4 linked regions of the Arabidopsis thaliana genome follow. The protein of the gene in region 4 purifies or fractionates together with the protein of the main gene of each other region. This does not show direct contact. Each region holds a gene or a part of one and is shown on either strand. Other genes may lie near its edges.

The links.
Region 1: the proteins of NPSN11 (region 4) and SAR1 purify together in Arabidopsis thaliana (affinity purification with western blotting, with the first as the bait; one study listed by BioGRID). This does not show direct contact.
Region 2: the proteins of NPSN11 (region 4) and SYP111 purify together in Arabidopsis thaliana (affinity purification with western blotting; 2 studies listed by BioGRID, with this or other methods). This does not show direct contact.
Region 3: the proteins of NPSN11 (region 4) and VTI1B purify together in Arabidopsis thaliana (affinity purification with western blotting, with the first as the bait; one study listed by BioGRID). This does not show direct contact.

The regions. Positions count from the first base shown.
Region 1 is NC_003071.7:14,042,642-14,047,976, reverse strand, and holds SAR1 (synaptobrevin-related protein 1), read left to right. Parts: upstream 1-2,433; 5' UTR 2,434-2,639; coding exon 2,640-2,853; intron 2,854-3,305; coding exon 3,306-3,447; intron 3,448-3,540; coding exon 3,541-3,661; intron 3,662-3,853; coding exon 3,854-3,916; intron 3,917-4,042; coding exon 4,043-4,192; 3' UTR 4,193-4,518; downstream 4,519-5,335. Other genes in the region: PKT3 (peroxisomal 3-ketoacyl-CoA thiolase 3), read left to right, coding at 54-163; RALFL18 (ralf-like 18), read left to right, coding at 1,145-1,456; VAMP723 (vesicle-associated membrane protein 723), read left to right, coding at 5,085-5,274. UniProt on the Arabidopsis thaliana protein: Involved in the targeting and/or fusion of transport vesicles to their target membrane.
Region 2 is NC_003070.9:2,708,513-2,713,343, reverse strand, and holds SYP111 (syntaxin of plants 111), read left to right. Parts: upstream 1-2,343; 5' UTR 2,344-2,534; intron 2,535-2,624; 5' UTR 2,625-2,633; coding exon 2,634-3,566; 3' UTR 3,567-3,819; downstream 3,820-4,831. Other genes in the region: ACHT4 (atypical CYS HIS rich thioredoxin 4), read right to left, coding at 49-285; NPQ1 (non-photochemical quenching 1), read right to left, coding at 3,957-4,470, 4,562-4,831. UniProt on the Arabidopsis thaliana protein: Involved in cytokinesis. Acts as a cell plate-specific syntaxin, required for the fusion of vesicles at the plane of cell division.
Region 3 is NC_003070.9:9,213,438-9,219,078, reverse strand, and holds VTI1B (Vesicle transport v-SNARE family protein), read right to left. Parts: upstream 3,310-5,641; 5' UTR 2,977-3,309; coding exon 2,880-2,976; intron 2,220-2,879; coding exon 2,161-2,219; intron 2,072-2,160; coding exon 1,883-2,071; intron 1,707-1,882; coding exon 1,536-1,706; intron 1,439-1,535; coding exon 1,286-1,438; 3' UTR 1,069-1,285; downstream 1-1,068. Other genes in the region: AT1G26665 (Mediator complex, subunit Med10), read right to left, coding at 3,653-3,724, 3,813-3,902, 3,986-4,088, 4,176-4,256, 4,346-4,569; AT1G26660 (Prefoldin chaperone subunit family protein), read right to left, coding at 5,314-5,385, 5,543-5,597. UniProt on the Arabidopsis thaliana protein: Together with either SYP41 or SYP61, required for membrane fusion; the fusion of phospholipid vesicles containing SYP41 or SYP61 and VTI12 is triggered by YKT61 and YKT62.
Region 4 is NC_003071.7:14,828,478-14,834,337, reverse strand, and holds NPSN11 (Putative plant snare 11), read right to left. Parts: upstream 3,713-5,860; 5' UTR 3,252-3,712; coding exon 3,175-3,251; intron 3,082-3,174; coding exon 2,989-3,081; intron 2,915-2,988; coding exon 2,783-2,914; intron 2,706-2,782; coding exon 2,611-2,705; intron 2,487-2,610; coding exon 2,407-2,486; intron 2,256-2,406; coding exon 2,199-2,255; intron 2,067-2,198; coding exon 1,974-2,066; intron 1,871-1,973; coding exon 1,796-1,870; intron 1,455-1,795; coding exon 1,359-1,454; 3' UTR 921-1,358; downstream 1-920. Other genes in the region: AT2G35200 (DUF740 family protein), read right to left, coding at 1-450; AT2G35170 (Histone H3 K4-specific methyltransferase SET7/9 family protein), read right to left, coding at 4,733-4,906, 4,991-5,249, 5,702-5,860. UniProt on the Arabidopsis thaliana protein: t-SNARE involved in diverse vesicle trafficking and membrane fusion processes, including cell plate formation.

The sequences.
Region 1 (5,335 bases), 790 kb from region 4:
GTCTGAAATATGTGTCTGAGGGATGGTTTTACTGATTTGGTAAACTCTGGCAGGGACGGGGATGGGTGCAGCAGCTGTGTTTGAGAGAGGAGATGGAGTTGATGAGCTTCGCAACGCAAGGAAAGTTGAAGCGCAAGGTCTTTTGTCCAAGGACGCTCGCTAGAGAGGACCATGCACCAAAACCGTTTTTCACCTCACCTCTCTCTTTTCTGGTCTTCTTGTCACTTTCTTCAGATATTATTATAGTTTCGAATAAAGCACACAACCAATGTTTGCCTGAGTCTTGTGTTGTTCTTGACCAGGTCATGTGTTTAGTATTTTTTTTAAGTGAAGGGGGATAATCTTTAAATCTTTTATATGTAAGAATATTGTTCTTCTCGAATTTCATCAGTTGTTGCTTCTAGAAATTTTAGATTTTTTGGGTGGCAGCCATTTCTATATTTCGATGGATAAGTCAAACGTTCATAAAGTCAAGGGTTCTGCCTTTTGTTTGTGTTTCATGATTTTACCTTGAATTTCATTAACTAAAACAGTGTTAATAGTAACAGTTGGGGTGGTGGCGCAGTTGGCTAGCGCGTAGGTCTCATAGCTACTGAGTGATCCTGAGGTCGAGAGTTCGAGCCTCTCTCACCCCATAATTTTATTTTCTCATAGCTATTTATATAACGTTCCTTCTAGTATTTTTTTTTCTTTTCGTTATAGTATCTTGTCTTTGATACCGGAGACGTTATAACGGCAGTATAAGACGTTATAATCATGTTCCAATGCATCCCCTCAGTTTTGTGTTAAAAACGAGCCATCAATGTTATCATATATGGAAATCATTATTGAGGCTTTGACCAATTAATTATGCGAATTGACCGACTTTGATCACTATACAGAGCAAAACAAATCCACTGAATCATTTATTTGTGTAGGTTCATCTTTTTTGGGCACCGTATTCATTTCTTATTCCATGAATTTGACGGAGTAATTTTGATTTTCTTTTTCGAGTAAGAATCTGGTCAAATATTCGATGAACCTCTACAAAAAAAATTAACCTCTATAAAAGTGTAGATTAACCAAGTGTTTCATCACAAACCATTTCAACGTAAACGAAACAACAACTACTACTCTCAACTTTACACTCTCTTGATAAGTCTCGATGATGAATAACATGAAGCTCTTGATCATCGCTGTGATGATCATCTCGGCAGCTTTGCTTCCAGCGCTTGTGGTCGGATCTCGTCCGGTAAAATGTGACAATTGCATGGACGGTGGAGAAAAAGAAGAGATCATGAAGATGAGTTCAGGTGTAGATGTGAGCCATAGGATACTTCAAGCTAAGAGATTTATAGATTACGAAGCATTGAAGAAAAACTTACCAGCCAAACCAGATGGTAAACCGGATAAACCGGATAACAAATACCGACGTGGTTGCAGTGCCGCTACAGGATGTTACCGCTTTACAAATTAAACATAAACCACCTCTCTCTTCTTCTTCTTCTTCCTTTCGTTGGTGTGTTTTATTTTATTTTTAATTAGTATTTCCAATCACATTTCTTATTATTATATTTTATTGCAATTTGTAAGCCTTTGAGGCATTATCTCCTAGAGAGTTAGAATAAACTTCGTTTAGAAATTGTCATCCTTTTCTCACCAAATGATTGACGAGTGAAAATTGATCTCATCGTAAAGTATTTTTGCGGTCAAGTTCAAACAAATTGATCCCTTCTCTCGCACCATATTCTTGTTTTATTTTATTTAAACGATCGATATATTTCCAAACCATTCCTCCAAAACTATCACACATTCACACCTACCAATTTCAACTTTAAATACAAAATATAGTCTTGTTGTAAATATAAGATACACTTTAGAAGTGTACACGTGAAATTCAGGTATATATATTACAATAGTAAGCAACCTCTAAGTACAATTAAATCAAGAAAAAAATAGATTTGAATTAATAGGAGCGGACATGGGATGCATGTAGAATTGTAGATTATCATTTATTATGGTGACTAGACCATTGAACTTTCCTATAACTTTGAAAATATTCTTATTTAGTCATTTAATTTAGATTACACCAAAACCCCAAATATGCCAAATTTTCTACAAATACCCCAAAAAAGACAATTTATAAAATTATTATCCAACCACATGTAATAATCTTTGATGACTTTTAAGTTTTAAATTTTAATAGTAGATTTAGATAATATAGGAACCAATTATTCAAAGGTCAAAGTTCAAACTAGCTTATCCAAATTCATTTTCGCTGATAAAAATACGTTGAAACTATCAAATAACAAAATACCATTACACCAACATCACCAACTTTTTAAAACCCCACAAGTTGATTATTTGAATTTGCTTTTAGGTCCTCAAGTTCAAGATTGTTTCAATTTGCACAATCTGCATAAATCTTTCTGAAATATAACTTTTTTGCCCTCTAAAACTCAAGGGTTTGATTTTTCTTCTTCAACTACGTTAAGATTTCTCCTACACTTTTCTTTTTCACCGTATTCTCTTTTAGTCCTCGATTCTCTACGCGTTTCAGCGTCAAGTCTTCTAGATCTCTAAAGCCTTCGTGCTCGCCAATATAAATCTCTGAGATCGGTCCCGTAAAATCGGATTCGCGTCGTTTTTGAGTAAAAAAAATGGCGCAACAATCGTTGATCTACAGTTTCGTCGCTCGTGGTACCGTTATCCTCGTTGAGTTCACAGATTTCAAAGGCAATTTCACATCAATCGCTGCTCAGTGCCTTCAGAAGCTTCCTTCTTCTAACAACAAGTTTACCTACAACTGCGATGGTCACACGTTCAATTACCTCGTCGAAAATGGATTCAGTGAGTCAAAATATTGCTCGATCTGTAAGCGTAGCTTGTTTGTGTTTTGATTTATCCATTGTTTGAATTAGATTTTTTGCCTAATTGAGAAATATGAATCGAGTTCTTATGTTTGGTATAGTTTCCAGTAATAATTATGTATTGGCGTTGATAATTAATTGATGTTAGATCTATGGTAATCAGTGATATTTTTGGTGGATCTATCAATGAATATTTGCAATTTTTGTTCTGGATCTATTGATTCTTTGCTTATTTGCGTGTAGCTTTCGATATCATGAAGTTTTTGGCATTAGTGTATTGTGTTCTTTATGTAACTCTGTTTTACTAAACCTAATTGGGTTTTGGGTGATGTTGATGGCGGATATGGTCTCTTTATGATAGTGTTAACTTTCTTATCAGCGATATATTGATGAATCTATTGCTTTATCTCTTAATATAGAGTTTAAAATGGACCGGTTTTGTTTTCGTTTGTGCAGCCTATTGTGTTGTTGCAGTTGATTCTGCTGGGAGGCAGATTCCTATGGCTTTCTTGGAACGAGTTAAGGAGGATTTCAACAAGAGATATGGTGGTGGAAAGGCTGCAACTGCTCAAGCAAACAGCTTGAATAAAGAATTTGGGTATGTGTTTTTTGATCTCTTTGATTGGTATTGAAAAGGGTCTATGATTCATGGGCATAGTTATTGATGGACTTCTTTTTGGCTTCTCTAAAGGTCGAAACTGAAAGAGCATATGCAGTATTGCATGGATCATCCTGATGAGATTAGCAAGCTTGCTAAGGTTAAAGCTCAAGTGTCTGAAGTTAAAGGTGTTATGATGGAAAACATTGAGAAGGTTTGATTCTGACCCTTTTTTCTTTTTATCGATATAGTTTTATGTTGTAAACCTTTTCGAACAGAGTTCAGCTTGTATGACTTTAGTACCAGGATCTTATGATTCGTAAAGCATAAACTGTAGAGAGGAATGTTTTATTCTCGGTTGTGAAGACATATTCTGTTGTTAACTCGTTTATGCATTCGTTTGCAGGTTCTTGACCGTGGTGAGAAGATTGAGCTTTTGGTTGACAAAACAGAAAACCTTCGCTCACAGGTTTGTTTTCTAAATGGTTCAAAGTCAATAGACCCACACAGAGACATGCAAGAGTTTGCAGCTTTCTCTTACTGATTGTTGTTTCTTGGGTTTCTAACTTTAAATTTGAACTCGACTTTATCACAGGCGCAAGATTTTAGAACACAAGGAACTCAAATGAGAAGAAAGATGTGGTTTCAGAACATGAAGATAAAGCTCATTGTCCTTGCAATTATCATTGCCTTGATTCTCATCATCATCCTCTCAATTTGTGGGGGATTCAACTGCGGTAAATAAGTCTGGAACATTTCTTCCCGGCGTTATCGACTGCGCTCTGTGCTTCCCAAGATCTCTGAGAATATCTTCATTCAGTTCGTTGTGCTACCTTTTTGTTTTGTTTTTGTTTTTGTGATTTCTATATTCTCATACTATATGTTTCTTCTTAGATTGTACTTCTTGAAATTTGTTTTGTATAGGCTATATATATTATACATATATGTATGCATGTTCGACAATCTGCAATGTTGCTATTGCTGGTACTGACACTAATTCTTGCAAACCAATATTTGGACGATACTTGTTCTTGGCAATTTACTAATTTCTTTGGTCTGTTGATGAGACTCTAGTTGCGGATTGCAGTGAGGTATAAGCATAGTCCACAGCCGGTTAATATTAAATGGAGATGAATATGTAATTAACACGGTTTCGTCTGACCGATTCACCAGAGTCTCCGGTTAGTTCATTAAGGGTTTGCTCAAACGCTTTCTCCTCTGCTTCCCTAATTTCGGAAACATTCGCCTGATTTTCTGAGATTTTGGAATTTCTTCGAATTGATTGCCATGCTGAGCTCAAGATTTCGACTGCTGAAATCGAGGCGACTTGCGGAGCCACCTCCGGCTGATGTCGCGGTTATGTGTATTTGCAGGAAATGAAAGTGATCTCCTTATTGCGGCAAATCAGCCACTTCCTGTCGACTAAAACTGTGGTGCAGCATGTAAGAACAAATGCAAGTTCGGACAAACGTGTTGTCTTGGTCAGTGGTTTTACTTGGCTTAGTCTTCGATTCTCTACGCGTTTCAGCGTCAAGTTTTCTAGATCTCTAAAGCTTTCGTGCTCGCCGATATAAATCTCTAATATCGGTCCCGTAAGATCGAATTAGATTCGCGTCGTTTTTTAAGGAACCAAAATAATGGCGCAACAATCGTTGTTCTACAGTTTCATCGCTCGCGGCACCGTAATCCTCGTCGAGTTCACAGATTTCAAAGGCAATTTCACATCTGTCGCTGCTCAGTACCTTGAGAATCTTCCTTCCTCGAACAACAAGTTTACCTACAACTGCGATGGTCATACGTTCAACGACCTCGTCGAAAATGGATTCAGTGAGTCAAAATATTGCTCGTGATGTGTTTGTGATTGTGTTTTCGATTAGTCGATTTATTC
Region 2 (4,831 bases), on a different chromosome or scaffold from region 4:
TAATATTTCAGATAAACAAAAACGAAAACACAAAACATTAAAGTCTACCTGAGCTGTGATAGCTGATGATCTTCTGAAGCTCTCGTCTTGAGAATCTCCGAAAACGATCTGTTTTCCGTAAAATACACTTCTAAGAGGCTTCTGACTCTTAAGCTTCAGACAAGAGAAACTCTTTTTCAAACCAAACCCACCAAAACTCACCGGAGAGAAAGAGAAATCATCAACACGGTGATGATTACCACAAGCTCCTAAGAACAAACTCGTTTTGCTAATCACTTCCGTCATATTATTCTCTAATCAGAAGAAAAAACAATATCTGTCTCCAGAATATACCAGAAGAAAAAGAAAAAGTTCTCACAGAGACGACGTGTCTTCTCAGCAATCTTTAGTCGCCAGCGAAGTTTCGCTTTCTTTCTCAGGAAAAATTAGCTTCACGAGAAAATTTATAATCGAAAAAAAAAAGTTTAAAGGAAAGAGAAAAAGGCCTCAAGGTTAGACATTTCTGGACAGGAAACTGTTTTCTTTTTCGTTAAGTGATCTTGACCGTCCATTTTGGATTTGGAATTTTAAGATCTAACGGTGGATTAGTGATTATCAGGTTTAGTCGGTCAGAAGAAAACTAATAAATGGATAAGGTTCATGACTTCTCGCAGATATAAAGGAACAAGTATAGGAAATTTTCTCATGACTTTGAATACATTTAAATGGATATGTTTGGTTTTTTACCATGCTTTTATCTGAATACAGAGTTTTAACTATGTTAAGTGGATATATATTATTTTGAAGAGTATGTTTAGCCAATTTAAGTAACGAATTTTAAATTTACCTATATTAATATTAAACAAATGGATTATATAGGTCATGAACCAAACAATTTTGAGAAAAATAAATGATACAGTTTCATCCTCAAACATTTATCAATCAAGTAAACAACAAATTAGGCGATGAACCACCAAAATGAAAGATTATTACTTTATTAGTCATCTGCAATCAACTAGTGAAGGATTTTACTACCAAACAAAAGAAAAAAAAGTAGTGATGGATAAATGGATTTGGATTTTAAGGAAGATAGTTTGCCAACACATCACCCACGTGGGTCTCACTCTCTCCACCACAACTCTCTCCTTTAACCTTTTTTATGAACTTTATATTATTGGAGATTTGCAATTGCCACCTCTTTAACAAAATAATTGGAGATTGCCCTTTTTAGTTTTTTGGTTTACATCTAACCCCCTCAATTCCACATTGCACAAGTTTTCGATCGATTCACGACAATAAGTAGAACAAACGTAACAAATGTGACTAGAGTTGAACAGCCAAAACAATCGAAGCAACTTTATTTTAATGTAAAACAAGCGTTATGTAATATTTTTTTGGGCGGCAAACAAATTTACTATATTTAATTACAAAAACAGAATAATTTTTTAATTAGAAAACAAAAAGTTTAAACAAAACAAATGTGACGAATGTAGAATAGACAAAACAATCCTAACAAATTTGTTTTAATGTAAAACAAGCGTTACGTAATCTATATATTTTTGTCGGTAAACTAATACTATTTTATAACCATGAAACGTTACAAAATTTAGTACATACTAACGTTATAGTAATGTAGTGACACAGTTTTTAAAAACATTTTTCAAGCATTACAGAATAAATATTGAATTGCGACTACAATAAATATTATTAAATTATTTTTTTATTCGAATATCATAAGGAATTTAATGTGATTAGTCAAAATTTTGGGTATTATTAAGTTTATAGAGATATGATGTACATTTTATTTAAAATTTGTCTACGATATTGAAACAATTTTGAAAATATTACAAGAAAAATAAAAACTGATTTCAAGTTTAGAGACCAACAAGCTAGTGGAGATGTTTTATTGGAGAGTCGTTTACATACGAAATTAGAATTAAAATATTATATATTTGAAAATATCCTAATAATTTGAATGGTTCAACTAAGGTGTATCGTAACAAAAGAAACTATACCATAAGTTTTCCAACATAAAAAACAAAACACAAGAACCACAATTTTTGTATAAATGGTGACAAATGTGCAGCTAAGAACACCTCTTCTTTGCTTTCGTAAATCGTCACCAATGATGATTTGTCGACAAAAGCGATGTCATACACATAATTACAATTTAGTCCCTATATTTTCTTCTCAGTTTCGATATCTTTAAAGCTGTCTCAATCACACACGTCGGCACTAAAACATACATCTAATTACAATTTAGTCCCTATATTATTTTAAAGTTTCGAAAGAAATTCACATGAATTTAAAAATAGATTTGAAGAAACAGAAACAGATAGACAAATGGACGACAACGGATACATCGCCAAAATATAGCCGTTGGGGCGAAGAAATCACAGTAACGGCTAATTTCTCCTTTTTCTTATATTAGAAAGAAAGCTTTCTCTCATCTCACAAATCGCTAATCAAATTCTATAGTAAGCTTTACTTCACACTACTCTCTCACTTTCTGGGCAGAAACTTTGTGGATCTAGAAGAACACACTAATCAGAAGAGTATGTTGTATTTTCTTTGATTTTCTCTTGTTTGATTCTGTTACAATCACTGCGATTCTCTCTGATTCTTGTAAAATTGTTGACTTTCAGGTGAAAAAGATGAACGACTTGATGACGAAATCGTTTATGAGTTACGTTGACTTGAAAAAAGCAGCGATGAAGGATATGGAAGCAGGACCTGACTTTGATCTTGAGATGGCTTCTACGAAAGCAGACAAGATGGATGAGAATCTGTCATCTTTCTTAGAAGAAGCAGAGTATGTGAAAGCAGAGATGGGTTTGATTAGTGAGACGCTGGCTCGGATCGAACAGTACCATGAAGAGAGTAAAGGTGTTCACAAGGCAGAGTCTGTGAAGTCTCTTCGTAACAAGATCTCTAACGAGATTGTGTCTGGTTTGAGGAAGGCGAAATCGATTAAGTCGAAGCTGGAAGAGATGGATAAAGCCAACAAGGAGATTAAAAGGCTCTCTGGGACTCCGGTTTATAGGAGCAGAACCGCTGTGACTAATGGGCTGAGGAAGAAACTTAAGGAAGTGATGATGGAGTTTCAGGGGCTGAGGCAAAAGATGATGAGTGAGTACAAGGAGACTGTTGAGAGAAGGTACTTCACTGTCACTGGAGAACATGCTAATGATGAGATGATTGAGAAGATCATCACTGATAACGCTGGAGGTGAAGAGTTTCTCACGCGAGCAATTCAGGAACATGGTAAAGGAAAGGTCTTGGAAACTGTGGTTGAGATTCAAGACAGGTATGATGCAGCAAAGGAGATTGAGAAGAGTCTGTTGGAGCTTCACCAAGTGTTTCTTGATATGGCTGTGATGGTTGAATCGCAAGGTGAACAGATGGACGAGATCGAGCATCATGTGATTAATGCGAGCCATTACGTGGCTGATGGAGCTAATGAGCTGAAGACTGCAAAGAGTCATCAGAGAAACAGCAGAAAATGGATGTGCATTGGTATCATTGTGCTGCTTTTGATCATTCTCATTGTTGTCATCCCCATCATTACCAGTTTCAGCTCTTCTTGAGATACTGGCTATGTTCACTCCTTTTGTTTTGTTTCGCTCTTCTTTGTACCAATGGATGTCTTAATCCTTTTGTGTTCTTCAAGGATGTCTTAATCCTTTCGTGTCTTGTATCCAATTTCAATGAAATGGTGAATGTTTACAAAGATACCCAGTTGACTTAATCCTCTTGATCATTCTAAATGTTGTCATCCCCATTGTTAACACTTTCAGCTCTTCTTGAGGTACTATGTTTACCAATCGTTGTTTGTTTCGCTCAAAGGATGTTTAATCCTTGTGTTTTCTGTATCCAATTGTTATGGAATGATGATGACTGTGTACAAAAATATTACTTTATATGAACCGAACACAGTATGTATAATATAGTTTGTACAACAATGGTGGTTCTTGTTTCTACCTGACCTTCCTGATTGGCAAAGCTTTCCCAAACAATTTTTCAACCTCACTTGCTTCCATTTTGATCTCATCCAAAAACTCCATCTCTTCTTTACTTAACTCTCTCACGAAATTCTCCTCGTCTTGCTTCAGTTCATTAAATCCTTCAGCCAATCTCTGGAACAAGGTCATCTCAGTCCTACCGACCTTCTCCACTTCCTTCTCTACCTCTTCTTCTATCTCTTCAACCTCTTTTACGATTATCCTTTCACCTTCTTCCACTGTCTTCTCAATTCTCTCCACGAGCGCAGGTTCAGGACCACATGTGTTATCCGTTCTAATGAATGTGCTGAAGTCTCTGCCTATGCTTTTTGCTGCTTTTTCGAGTTCTGGTATAATGCTATTGGGTAATACAGAACTTCTCGTGTATACAACTGCACCACCATATCCATCCCAAGCATCGTTTCGCCCACGGTAGTATACAAATATATAGTCTTCAGGTTTATTCTCTATCTTTGATGACAGGATATACCTGCAAAAATCATATGAAAGCTTGTTAGGCCAAAGAAGAATAGCAGCACTATCAAGACTCTCCCTCGTGGGTGGATACAAGATGTTATTACCAGTCATCTTGATAGTGAAGGTACTCGTTGTCATGATTGTAGAGAACACCAGGTTGGTTAGGATCTTGCACGAATTTTTGTACGGCTGACCTAGTAAAGAATCCACTGTCTAGGGTCTTTATTCTCCAAGAGATGTTTCCAACAAGCTTGTTGTCACCTTCTGTGTGGAACTCATGCAGCTGGCAGTCGAAGGCATCAAAGGTTGGATTCAAGCCACTTGTAATGTACCACTTCCCGTTAAAGTCCGAGATGTTGAAGTTCTGTACAAGA
Region 3 (5,641 bases), on a different chromosome or scaffold from region 4:
TAAATTAATGTAGAAATTAATTATTTCAAATCACACAATTATTTGAATCAATTATGAAAACTGATAACTAATTTAACATCAATTGTTTACAAGTAATAGAAATATTGGCATGCATAAATTATTATATATGTTACAAATATTAACATCATTTAAATTAAATGATGCGAATTTTAACATTATTTTTTGTAATTGATATATGTTAAGATCGATTTACAAGAATCGATACAAAATATTTGCATCACTACTTTCAAAAGTCACTTTTTTTAGTGATGTAAATGTTTTTCTTGCCATCAATTATAAGTTTATAACTAATAAAAATATATAAAATAAATGATGTAAAAACACACATTTTTTTTGTAGTGATTGTACTTGATTAGTACTCAAATCATTTTGTCATCACATCAATCAAGTGTATATGCCTAAAATTTTAAAGAGTAGATTAATTAATCTCAAAACTCTTTCATTTGGTGGTTAAGTGAATTATTTCCGGCGAATGGGAGGAAATTCTTGATCATTAAAGATTATTTTCAATCACTCGTCAATCTATCCCTGCTTACGAAGAAGGGATTTATAGGGTGGAATGGGTTAACGAGTTTGAAGACCAGAACGTGTGGTTTAAAACATAACAGGGGCTGAGATCATAGAAAACATAATTCACGACAGAAACACATGCTCTAGCTGCGTTATGGACGGGCCGGGACTGCATAAAACTATTTGTTTCGGGGATAGTTTTACTTGTTATGTTTGGCTTGTGTGTATTTTTTGGTGTCGTGAATGTTTGATGTTATTTTAAATAGAGAGATAGAAGGAGAGGCCTTTGTTTCATGCTCTGACGTGACAGTGGGTCTCCTGCCTGCGACTGGTGATCACGGCAAGATGATTGGTCCGGCAAGGATGTGTCAGGTGTCCTAGTTTTCTTAAAACATTATAAGTATAGATCTTTGGCTCATGTAAAGACTTGGAAAACCTTATGTTTTGAGCAATGGAGTGTTTGTTCTTTTTGGAATTACATTGTTGTAAGTTTTCAAAGGTTGGACTTGAGATGTAAGTGGAAGTTTCCACAGTTGTAACTTTTGAAACATCTGCTTTATATAAAATAGTACCACTTTTTTGGAAAAAAAGACAAAAAAGAAAAGACTTGGGAAACCTTATGAATGTTAAAAGTGTTGCCACTTCAATACAAACATCGTACTTAAAAATACAAGTAACCACTTGGGCCATTACAAAGTAAATCAACCATCATATATATATACACAATCACGATGAATAATGTTTTTTGAGTATATTAATGAGAAAGCTTGTATGAGATGATCAAGATGATGGCGAGAACGAGAGCCACGATTACCGATGTAATGATCCATTTGTTCCTAGTCATTCTCCTTGACATAGCCGTCAACACCTTCTTGCTCTTGTCAATGGCGTCATCCACACCATGAAGCTGTGATTCAAAATCAGAAAAGTTAGCTTCTCAATGATCTAATTCAAACAAATCATTGGCACTGATAGATACCAAACCGAGCAATTGTAGACGGTACCTTGTTGTGCGCATGAAGGAGGGTTTGGCGTTGCTGACTCAAATCTTGGACAATTGAGATGCCAACCTCTTCTGTCTCCAGCATTAGTCTTCTACTCTCCCTGATTCTGTCACTTGATTGGTCAAGCCTCTCCACGGACATTGCCAATCTTCCTCTTTGATCAGCAGATACCTGGAACATGGACAATAATGTAAATCACAGCAAAGTCTTTGCCATCTAAAAGTTTGTGTGAAGATGAATATAAAGGAGGGTCCCCTCAGGACAAAGAAGCCTAACTGATGCAAGTCAATTAAGACAACTAAGATAATGAGAAAACAAGAGTTTCTATTTAGGAGTTAGAAGCTTACTGCATGCAGATCCGCCATTCCGGATTCCATCAACTCTTCACGGGAAGACGGCTTAGCATCTGCGGAAGAGACTCGTTTGAATTCCTTCTTCAATTGGTTCAGATCAGATTTATACTCTCTTAGTTTAGAAAGACACACAGCTTTAGCACTCGGCTGCAAACTTCTTGCCTCAAGATCCATTTTCCGGATCTACAAAAAAACCACAGAAGCATATATATTAATTTTAAAAAAGAAAGAACAGAACGGTAACAACATTAAAGCAAGTTAAATGCAAATACCAAGACATCAGCTTCGTCTATTCCAGACTTGATCTCAGCAATCTTCCCCTTCTTCTCCTCTATAAAAGCACACAACAATATCTAATCAAACCTCTACTCTGGTTCTATGGCACCACAAAATGTAACAACTCCATGCATGTCTATGTACTATAACTCCAAGAAAGACAGTGGTAACCATAGACTGACAAACAAATGAAAAAAAACACCAACTCAATAAACCTCTGCAGCTACATAACTAGGTTCTTATGATCTTATCTTCAGTCTTAATTTCTTCACAAAACTACTTGACCAATCCAAGTAAATTACATTCCCAGATACTACAGAACTCGTCAGATCGTAAACAAGCTAAAACGATTAGTAAACACTCATGCACCTCTACTTTACAAATACCCCCAAATTCGGACAAAATTAGATGAAATAGATTGAGAAACAAGTTAATAAATCTATGCAACTACATAACTATCTAGACCTAACTAGGTTATCGTCTTCTAATCCAAGCAATGAGAAACAGATCCTATGTCTCAACATTCCTAAATGTTACAAAACTTCGTCAGATCCTAAACAAGTCAGGACGATTAGTAAAGAACACTAGTCCACCAGCTACTTGTCACAGCTCAAAAGCTCCAATAACCCCAAATTCGAAGATTCGAATTTCTAAAATCAGGTAAATTCGAAGATCTCGCGTTCAAGATCCGAAATCGGGAGCGTCTGGATTTTACCTCCGTTGGAGAGAACCGATGCAGAGTGACATTTTCTAGAGAGATTGGTTGAGAGCTCGCAGTATTGACGCTCGTACCCTTCAAATACGTCGCTCATCTTCAATTATATGTTTCGATCTTGAGAAATTTGGTGGATTTTTTCTGATCAATCGGATCCTTTGTTTGATTGGATTGGATCGGATCTAGAAGCAAAACAGTTTCCTCTTTGCTTAAAGATAATCAAACAACTCTTCTTCTTCTTCCTTTGTATTTCTCTGCTCGGGGACAAGGAGGAACAATCAAACAAAGCGGTGCGTTTTATATTGACACGTGTCAGCCACTGCGTATTAAGTCCCCCATGCTGCAATCGATGCAAATGTAGGTGAGACAAACCAAACCGAATCAAACCGTTAATTAAGATTGAAATCTAAGTGTCTTTTCTCACTTTTTCAGCTCTCGGAAATAGTGTACATTTTATGCAGAACCAAGATTACTCGTCCAGGAAATAGACAAATCCATTGATAGAAGTCGAATCTGTTTTGCGTAACTATGTGGGATTCTTTGATAGTCTCATGAAATCAAAGAGATCTCAGAGGCTAAGAGTAAGATAGTCCACTCGAGTAAAAATGGGGGGAACAAGCAGAGATTCTCAAACTATATTAGCCAGGTGAAGAGAACCAACAGATATTATTAGAAATTCCACTTGGGATTGTTCGTGTTACATCACATTCATCGACTCAGTCATTATATTCTACAAGAGTACAAGGTAAACATAAAAAGGATCCTTTGGGCTCTTATAGCTCATTCTTGACCTTTGCATCCCCATTTGGTAACACACTTTGCGATTGCGCCAACCGTTTCGCTTCCTGAATATGACCAAAACTGTTTAATCCCCTTGACTTACTATAATATATTAATGAAGATGTACAATACTAGTCGAAGTTAACAACTTACAGCAGCAGAACTAGCACGGATTTCTCTATACATATCGACTTCATCAGGGAAATTCTGTTCAAGCTCCTCCAGAATATGTTTTCTCAAATCCTATTTATAACAAAATGTTGATTAAGAGACTCAGTAACCTTAAGAATCATACACAAATTAAGAATCAGAAGAAAAGGAGTCACCTTAAAAGCATCAGTCTTGCCCTTAGTAACTTGATTTCTAGCTATGCAGCTATTAAGAACATCTTTCGTAAACTCATCCGGGTTCTTCCCATCATCAATCAAGCTATACGAAAACGCAAACATAAGTAAGCAAGTAAAAGTATCTATCTTCAAAGTGCATACTAAAAACAAAAAGGACTTGTTTTCTCACTTAAGAACCTCCATGGGGATTTGAATGTTGCATTTCTCAGACAACTTAGTCATGTTATCTAGCTCCATCACAAGAGAGTTACTGCAAATACACACACACACACATATTCATTCAAACAATAGTTACAATACCCAAAACAATAAACACAGATGAGTAGAGGAGTTACTTACAGGCGCTGGAGGAGATGGAGTTGAGACGCGGGTGTGAAAGAAGTGACGGTAAGGTGTAACTGATGAAGGACTCCTAAAGTTTTCTCAATAGAGTTTATGACTTGGGAAAGATTCTCCTTTGAATCATCAGCAACGGTCACAGTTGAAGTCCCATCATTGGTTTGATATCTGATTGTACCATTGCTCCCACCAATCCCTGCACTTGTGTTCTGTGTTGGATCCATCACAAGCTGCCACAAAATATAAACTTGAGATATATGACCTGATGCGTTAGCGATAACAAAACAAAAACGAGAAAACGCAATTTTCGATCTCAAAATCAAACGAAAATTCTTCAGAAACCTTATTCAATTGGAGTGGATTTTGGTATCCAAATTTCTAATTTTAGATGCAAATTCCACAAAAACGCCCAGATCAAGAATAACGATAACAATAACAATTAGCGTAGAATGAAGATCCGTGACTTACCTACAACAGAGATGCGTTTGGCGAGAGTGAGGTGGAGATTCTCCGGACGAATTAGGTTTTCCTCCGAGCCTTACCGTGAAAACCGAAAAGGGACCGACGAAGACAGGGAAGCGGAAGATATTTGGACACTTTGCTGACGTGGAATATCATTATCTTGTATCTGTTTCGTTCATACTTTTATTTCATTCTTCATCAGCTGTGTTAAACTGTTAATGATCTTCTAAGTTCTAACATGTGATTATTAATATTTAAAATAGAAATGGCAGATTTAACAGAGTGCGATTCACTATTCACCCCCACAACAATAGTCATTCTATAAAGTTTTGATTGCTTAATCGATATGTTTATCTAACACCAACAGTTTGGTCCATTCCGGAGAAAGAGTTAGTATTGAACAAACTAAGTTAATTCTCTGCTTTAAAAACTCAAAACAGTAAGCAGAACAAATCGAGAAGATAAGACTGCAAGAGAAAATCCTCAACTTTCCACTAGGTAGTGTACTAAAACGCACGTTGCCGGGATGACGGATTCTCTTCAGGAAGATTGAGTATTTGCTGAATCTGGTAATGAGCCTGCAATGGTAATTTAACATTAATACTTATCCGATGACACTTTCATATATCCGTCTGATGCAGGGTTCCTACGCAATAGTGATTTTCTAGTCCAATTCAACCTCATAAGACAAATGATTGACTACTATCACAAAGCAAGATAAGAACTTGAACTTACCAGTTTGATGCGCCCTTTGATCTGCGTAATAACACCAGTATACTCTTCTAGTTGTCTGTTAAAAACAAAAAAAACCACATTTATATTGCATCAACATTC
Region 4 (5,860 bases):
CTTCATAACCTTAGCAGCCTTTATTTTCGTCTCTTCTTCTCTGTTTCCTCTGAACAATCTCCATAGCCAACGTCCACGACCCGGTTTAAGATCCTTCTCAGTTTCTAATATCGGTTCCGGTTTAGCAGACCAGAAATAAGGACCCGTAATCGATGTCGACCTCCGAAACGCCGGTTCGCATTCAATCAAGTTGGCAACACGGCCAACCGACCCAATACGGGCGAACGAAACGTCACCTTCTCCACGGGAAGACACGGAGGCGCGTGGAGTACACGAACAGGGAAGATCGTGAGCACAATCGGGACAGAGAGAGGAGAGGCGTTCGTGGAGGCAATAAGGACAAACACCGGCAACGCAGACAAAACGACCTTCGTGTCTTGAGCATTTCTGCCAAACGCTGCCTCCTCCTTCGTCCAAACGCAAATTCGTTTGAGTTTTCTCGCGTTGCATTTTCTTGTCTCTGAATCTCAGTTGCTTGTTGTGAAGGAGAGAGAGATGGAGAGATAAAGGTTTTAATATTGGAGTAATCAAATAAAGATTAATCCACTAATAAGCCCCACTCTGCTTAAGTCTTAACCATAACCGTAGTTAGTCAAACTAACTAAAGCTTAACTCATCAGCTCCGAATTATATGCCTTGATTATCGATCCCTCGCATATCCTTTGTAGATTTACGACTCACTATTACGTGGTTAATTTAGTAATTGTAGTTAAAACTTTCAAATTTTTATCTAAACTCACTGATATATATTAAAATTTCCCACACTACACATTTTTTTTTGTTACATCAATTAAAAATTTTCTTATTAGAAACTCTAAAAACATCATTGTTGTTACATGAAACTATGATACAGATTAGTGCAATTTGTAGATTCGGCAGCTTGTAAAATCGTATTGTTTTTTTGGTCATTGTTTGTAAAGACTTTTTGGTCTGTTTACCGTAATTTTTTTCGCTGATAATGAGAGTGAAGTCATATACTAATATATATCGGATATGATACAACTCAGTTACAACTTTGAACCAGTGAAACAAGTTTTTATTACCAGAACATGAAACAGAGAAGACGTTTTAAAAATACACGTACATATGATAGAACACAAAAGAGTCATCCTTATACAAACACATGAGCTAAAAAAGATGGTTTTGATCCTGGGTTTTTAACGAAAGGGAATTTGATTCCTGTGACTGCTCAAATGTGCAGCAGCCAAGAGCCATGTGAATCGAAACTGGTTACTTTCTCAAGTGAGGCGGTTTCATCTACAACAACATGACTAAGGGGAGGATCAAGATGTGTATGGGACAAAAAAGTGTGCAACGTACCAGTATTTTGAATGGTGTGAAAATGAGATATTTTTTTTTCAGTAATGGTTCCAGAGCAGACGTCTGTTCATGGCTGGTGGAGCTAGGCCCACACCCGGTATGTCGCGAATGTCTTTGTTGTTTGGGTTCACAATCTATACAAAAGAAATAAAAAGAAGAAGTTACATGTATGATAATGTGAACAAGATAACAGCGTTGGAAGGAAAGATATTGCAGATGAATCTAGAAGTGAGATCAAATTAACAATCACATAGGAGACAACTTTATATATTGCATAACTGAATAATGGAGAAAGACAAAATTGTGGGTATTTGTGCTTTTTATAGGTTCTTCGATCAACAAGGTATCCAGCAAAGTAAAAAACATAACCTCATATTATTCAAGAAAAAATAATGATGAACACCGAAATCTATTTAACTCAAACAAGTATCCAAGTGTGTGTGCACATTTGAATAAGAAAGGAGATGAGATGTACCTTGACGATGATGATTGCTATGACACCAATGACGATAAGGAAAAGAAATGCCATAATACATTTGTCAGTGGCAACCTGATAAAAGAAGGACAGAGAGTAAGTGAAAGGGACAAGAAGGAGCTGCAGATAACAAGTAATGATGATATAAAGAAGAAATAAGGAGATTTATGAGACTAACCTGCCTACCAATTTCCTTGACCAGCTTGGAGGCTTTCTTGAGTGAGAAATGAATAGAATCGAGCTCATTGACAACTCTACTCATTTGCTCGGTCTGAACAAGGAAAATGTAAACTATCTTAATAATTCTCAGAATTCACACACAAATACACAATCTTGGAAAAAAATGAGATTCAGGTAGAAGCAGGACTGTTTGGAAAGAAACAAGTGTGGGCTAACTACACACCTGAGCCTTGAGAGCTGCTGAAGTATCTGTTCCCACATTTATAGTTTCTTGTACAATCTGTTGTCACAGACACAAAAAAAGCAGTGAGATTTTGCTTTAGTGAAGATGGAAAAATGGACACAAGTTATCACATGGCATTCACGGCTCCATGAACATTAGACTGAAATTTCAAGAGACAATAAGACATTCATATAATCTGAAAACGGACCTTTTTCCCTCTCTCAATAGCTTGATCTGTGTCATCCATCATTGAGTTTCCTTTATCCATTAACTCTTGATTGGACATGTCTGAGAGTTATTAAGTTTCCAGTAAATACTCTAGTTAGGTTGTATGTAATCATATAACAACAAAGTGCAATAAATATCTATCTCATTGTTAGTTGGTCGCAAAATACGAGATTTAAAGACTTACTTGAAGCTAATAAGACATTTTCTTCCATGTGTTCTTCTCCAGGTCCATCGAAAAGATCTACTCGCTTGTTATTGCTTGCTAGGTTTGATGAGTATCTGTATAACCATCCTCATTATCATCAATCACCATAAATATGAGCATCAGTTAAGCAATTAGCAAAAGTGTGACCTACTTCTTCTTAAGAGCAACATATGAGTTGAGTTCCTTAACCATAGATTGTCGTCTATCGTTCAACATCCGGTTAGTGCTGGCATCATTACCGCTTTCCAAGCTTTTGATTTCCCTATCGAAATCTTTAATAAGGCTGCAAAGAAGAAGAACAAGGCATCATCATCATCATCATTGGATAATCAAACACCAGATTCAATGAATGTATACCTCTTACAGTCACGCATTTTGTCAGTGAGTTCTTCCAGCTGCCTACTCTGCCTATTAGCATCTTTGATCTTCTCCAGCTTCTGGAATCCATTTCTGTAGAAAACAAAAACATCAAAACATTATTATATAGACACAAATACCAAATCACAAATGGAGAGAAAACGCTAGAGAGAGATTCATTCTCACGATAAAGCACGGAAGATGTCATTGATTTGTCCTTCGATCTCAGCCAGCTCTTCGCTAACCGCTGATATTGGATCCATCTTTACACAGATTCCCAGAAAAATTCAGTGCCGATATACAAAAGACAACAATGTCTCTTCTTCAGATCCACGCGAGCAGTTTTTGAAAAATGTCGACCACGAATCGACTCGCCGAGATTAGATCCGATGGATCTGAAATCGAATCACCTCCAACGAAAAGAATTGAAAGCCTGGTGTCAAAATCGCCGAGCAAATCGTAATAACAGAACCCGTGTTTTTTTTCTTCAGATCTAAGAACAATGTGGATGTTCAAAATCGATAACGAAGAGATAGATATCAAAATCACGAGCACGAGCTCTCTCTCCCCTACACCCAGATTTTATTTGTTTTGTTTTTCCCTAATTTCTCTCGGACATTTTTTGTTTTTGTTCTTGGGGAATTCTAAAAGCTAATTTTTTGCCATTGATTTGGCTCGAAGGGACGAAAATGAGAGATTTTGAAAAACTGCGTTACCGAAAACCAGTGGGACCCGCCACGACATCGTTTGTCAGTGTTGGAACTCATATAACCTGGGACGTACGATTGGTCACCTCTCCAGATCTGACGATCCACACTCTTTACATTAGCTTAATTTTGATAATTGACTTTAAATGAAATTAAAATAAAGAGCACATCATAATAATTAATTCGAAAACGAAACAAAACTTTCAGTCCTTCATTAAATTAGAATCGTTTATTTATTATACAAACCGGTAAATGCAAAAATCGAAATCCAAACTAAATTTGAAAATAAGAAAAATTAGGACAAAGAAAAAAAAAAAGTGTACTTAAGAAAAACCGAATTCAACTAATTAAGGGAAGTGTATAATGTCATCTAGCTTGGCCCAAATAAAAACGGCCTAAATCCTTGCTTTTAGTTCATTCAAATAAATGCTTCATAGCATGAGATGTTGTCTGCTGTGTGAATCATAAGATCCCTCTTTTGATTTCAGATTTTCAGCCCATTTTACATTGTTTCTGAATCTGTTGAAATGTTGTCTGTTAAGGGACCAGATATGGTGCCAGTCTTAGGAAGCAAATCAAGAAGATGGAAGTGAGTCAGCACAGCAAATACTTCTGCTAGTTCTGTGGCAAGTATGCTGTTAAACGGAAGGCTGTTGGAATTTGGGGATGTAAGGACTGTGGGAAAGTTAAGGCTGGAGGTGCCTACACGATGAATACTGCTAGTGCTGTAACTGTTAGGAGTACCATCAGAAGGCTCAGAGAACAAACTGAGAGCTAGACTTCTTCTACTCATACACAACTTTTCAAGACCAGATTCATCTTTTGTTATAAGACTGATATACCAGATTCTTCTAATTGTTTAATCAAGATAGGGATTTTTGGCTACATGTATGTCAGTTGCATTCTATGAAGCAGACCCAATTTTTTTCTTGTTGATATACAAAGATCATCTCTAGTTTATTATCTACAGTTTCAAACTAGCTTTGCTCATAAAGGAACAAGAAAACCTGTTAAGGAAGATCTCTTCTAACCTATGCTCAACAATTGGTTTCAAGATCGCCATCATTCCTGTGAAAGGTCTGGGATTGGACAGCCTTCACGGCTGCTACTCTAGCTGCATTCGCTGCTCTATTTGCAGCCATCACCGCTCTCTTGATCCTCTCTTCCACTTTCACAACTTCATGTGCTTTCTCAGCTGCTTTCCTTGCTTGCTGAAGGAGAAAGAGAGAACAAGCTTAGTTTAATACATATATGGTGTTTGCAGTACTAAAGATAAACTACTAGTTAACTTTTACCTCAACAGCATCAACAACTTTGGAATGGCTTATGGTAAAAGATGATCCAGGACGGATAGTCTGCTCGGTAGGACAACTGAGTACACCGTCTTCCCAATGACCGGCTTGTGTATCACCATTCCTGAAAGTATACATACCAAGCCCTTGCCTTCTTCCCTCGTGCCAAGCTCCTTCATACTTATGCCCGTTCGCAAAGTGATACACTCCAAAACCATGCATCTTGTCTGCAAAATACTCCCCAGCATACGCATCACCATTTCTGCAACAGCAGCATAACTCCAAGTTAAATGTAGTTTTAAAGCCATGGTACCGCTAAAGCATACTGGACCACCAGTGCTTCATGCAATTGCTTAAGATCAATGCTAACTGAGAGTAACACAAAAGCCTAAACTTTGATGTTCACTAGACTAGCTTATAAGGTGAGGATAACCACAAGAAGCAGGAAACAAAACCCAGTTATCCATCTGATGTCAGAAATCGAAATTGAAAACCTTTCAGAGGTCCTCCAGATTCACACACCCAAGTGAACAAGGGCAACAATAAAGAGAAAGACAACTACACGACCCTTCAAAAACAATGGAACTCAAGATAGCAAACACACTTAGACGAGCAACATATACAGGGATCTAATGCACCACCATTACAGGTCAAAGCACAACCATATTCCAGAAACTCAAATGACTATGCAGAGTAAAAAAGAACAATGCTGACCTGAAATGGTAACTACCAAGGCCATGTTTGACACCCCACTTGAACTCTCCGTCATATCTACTTCCATCCTCAGAGGTATATACACCACAACCATGGCACTGCCCATTAGACCATTCACCAGCATACACATCTCCTGTATAAAACGTATAAACTCCAATT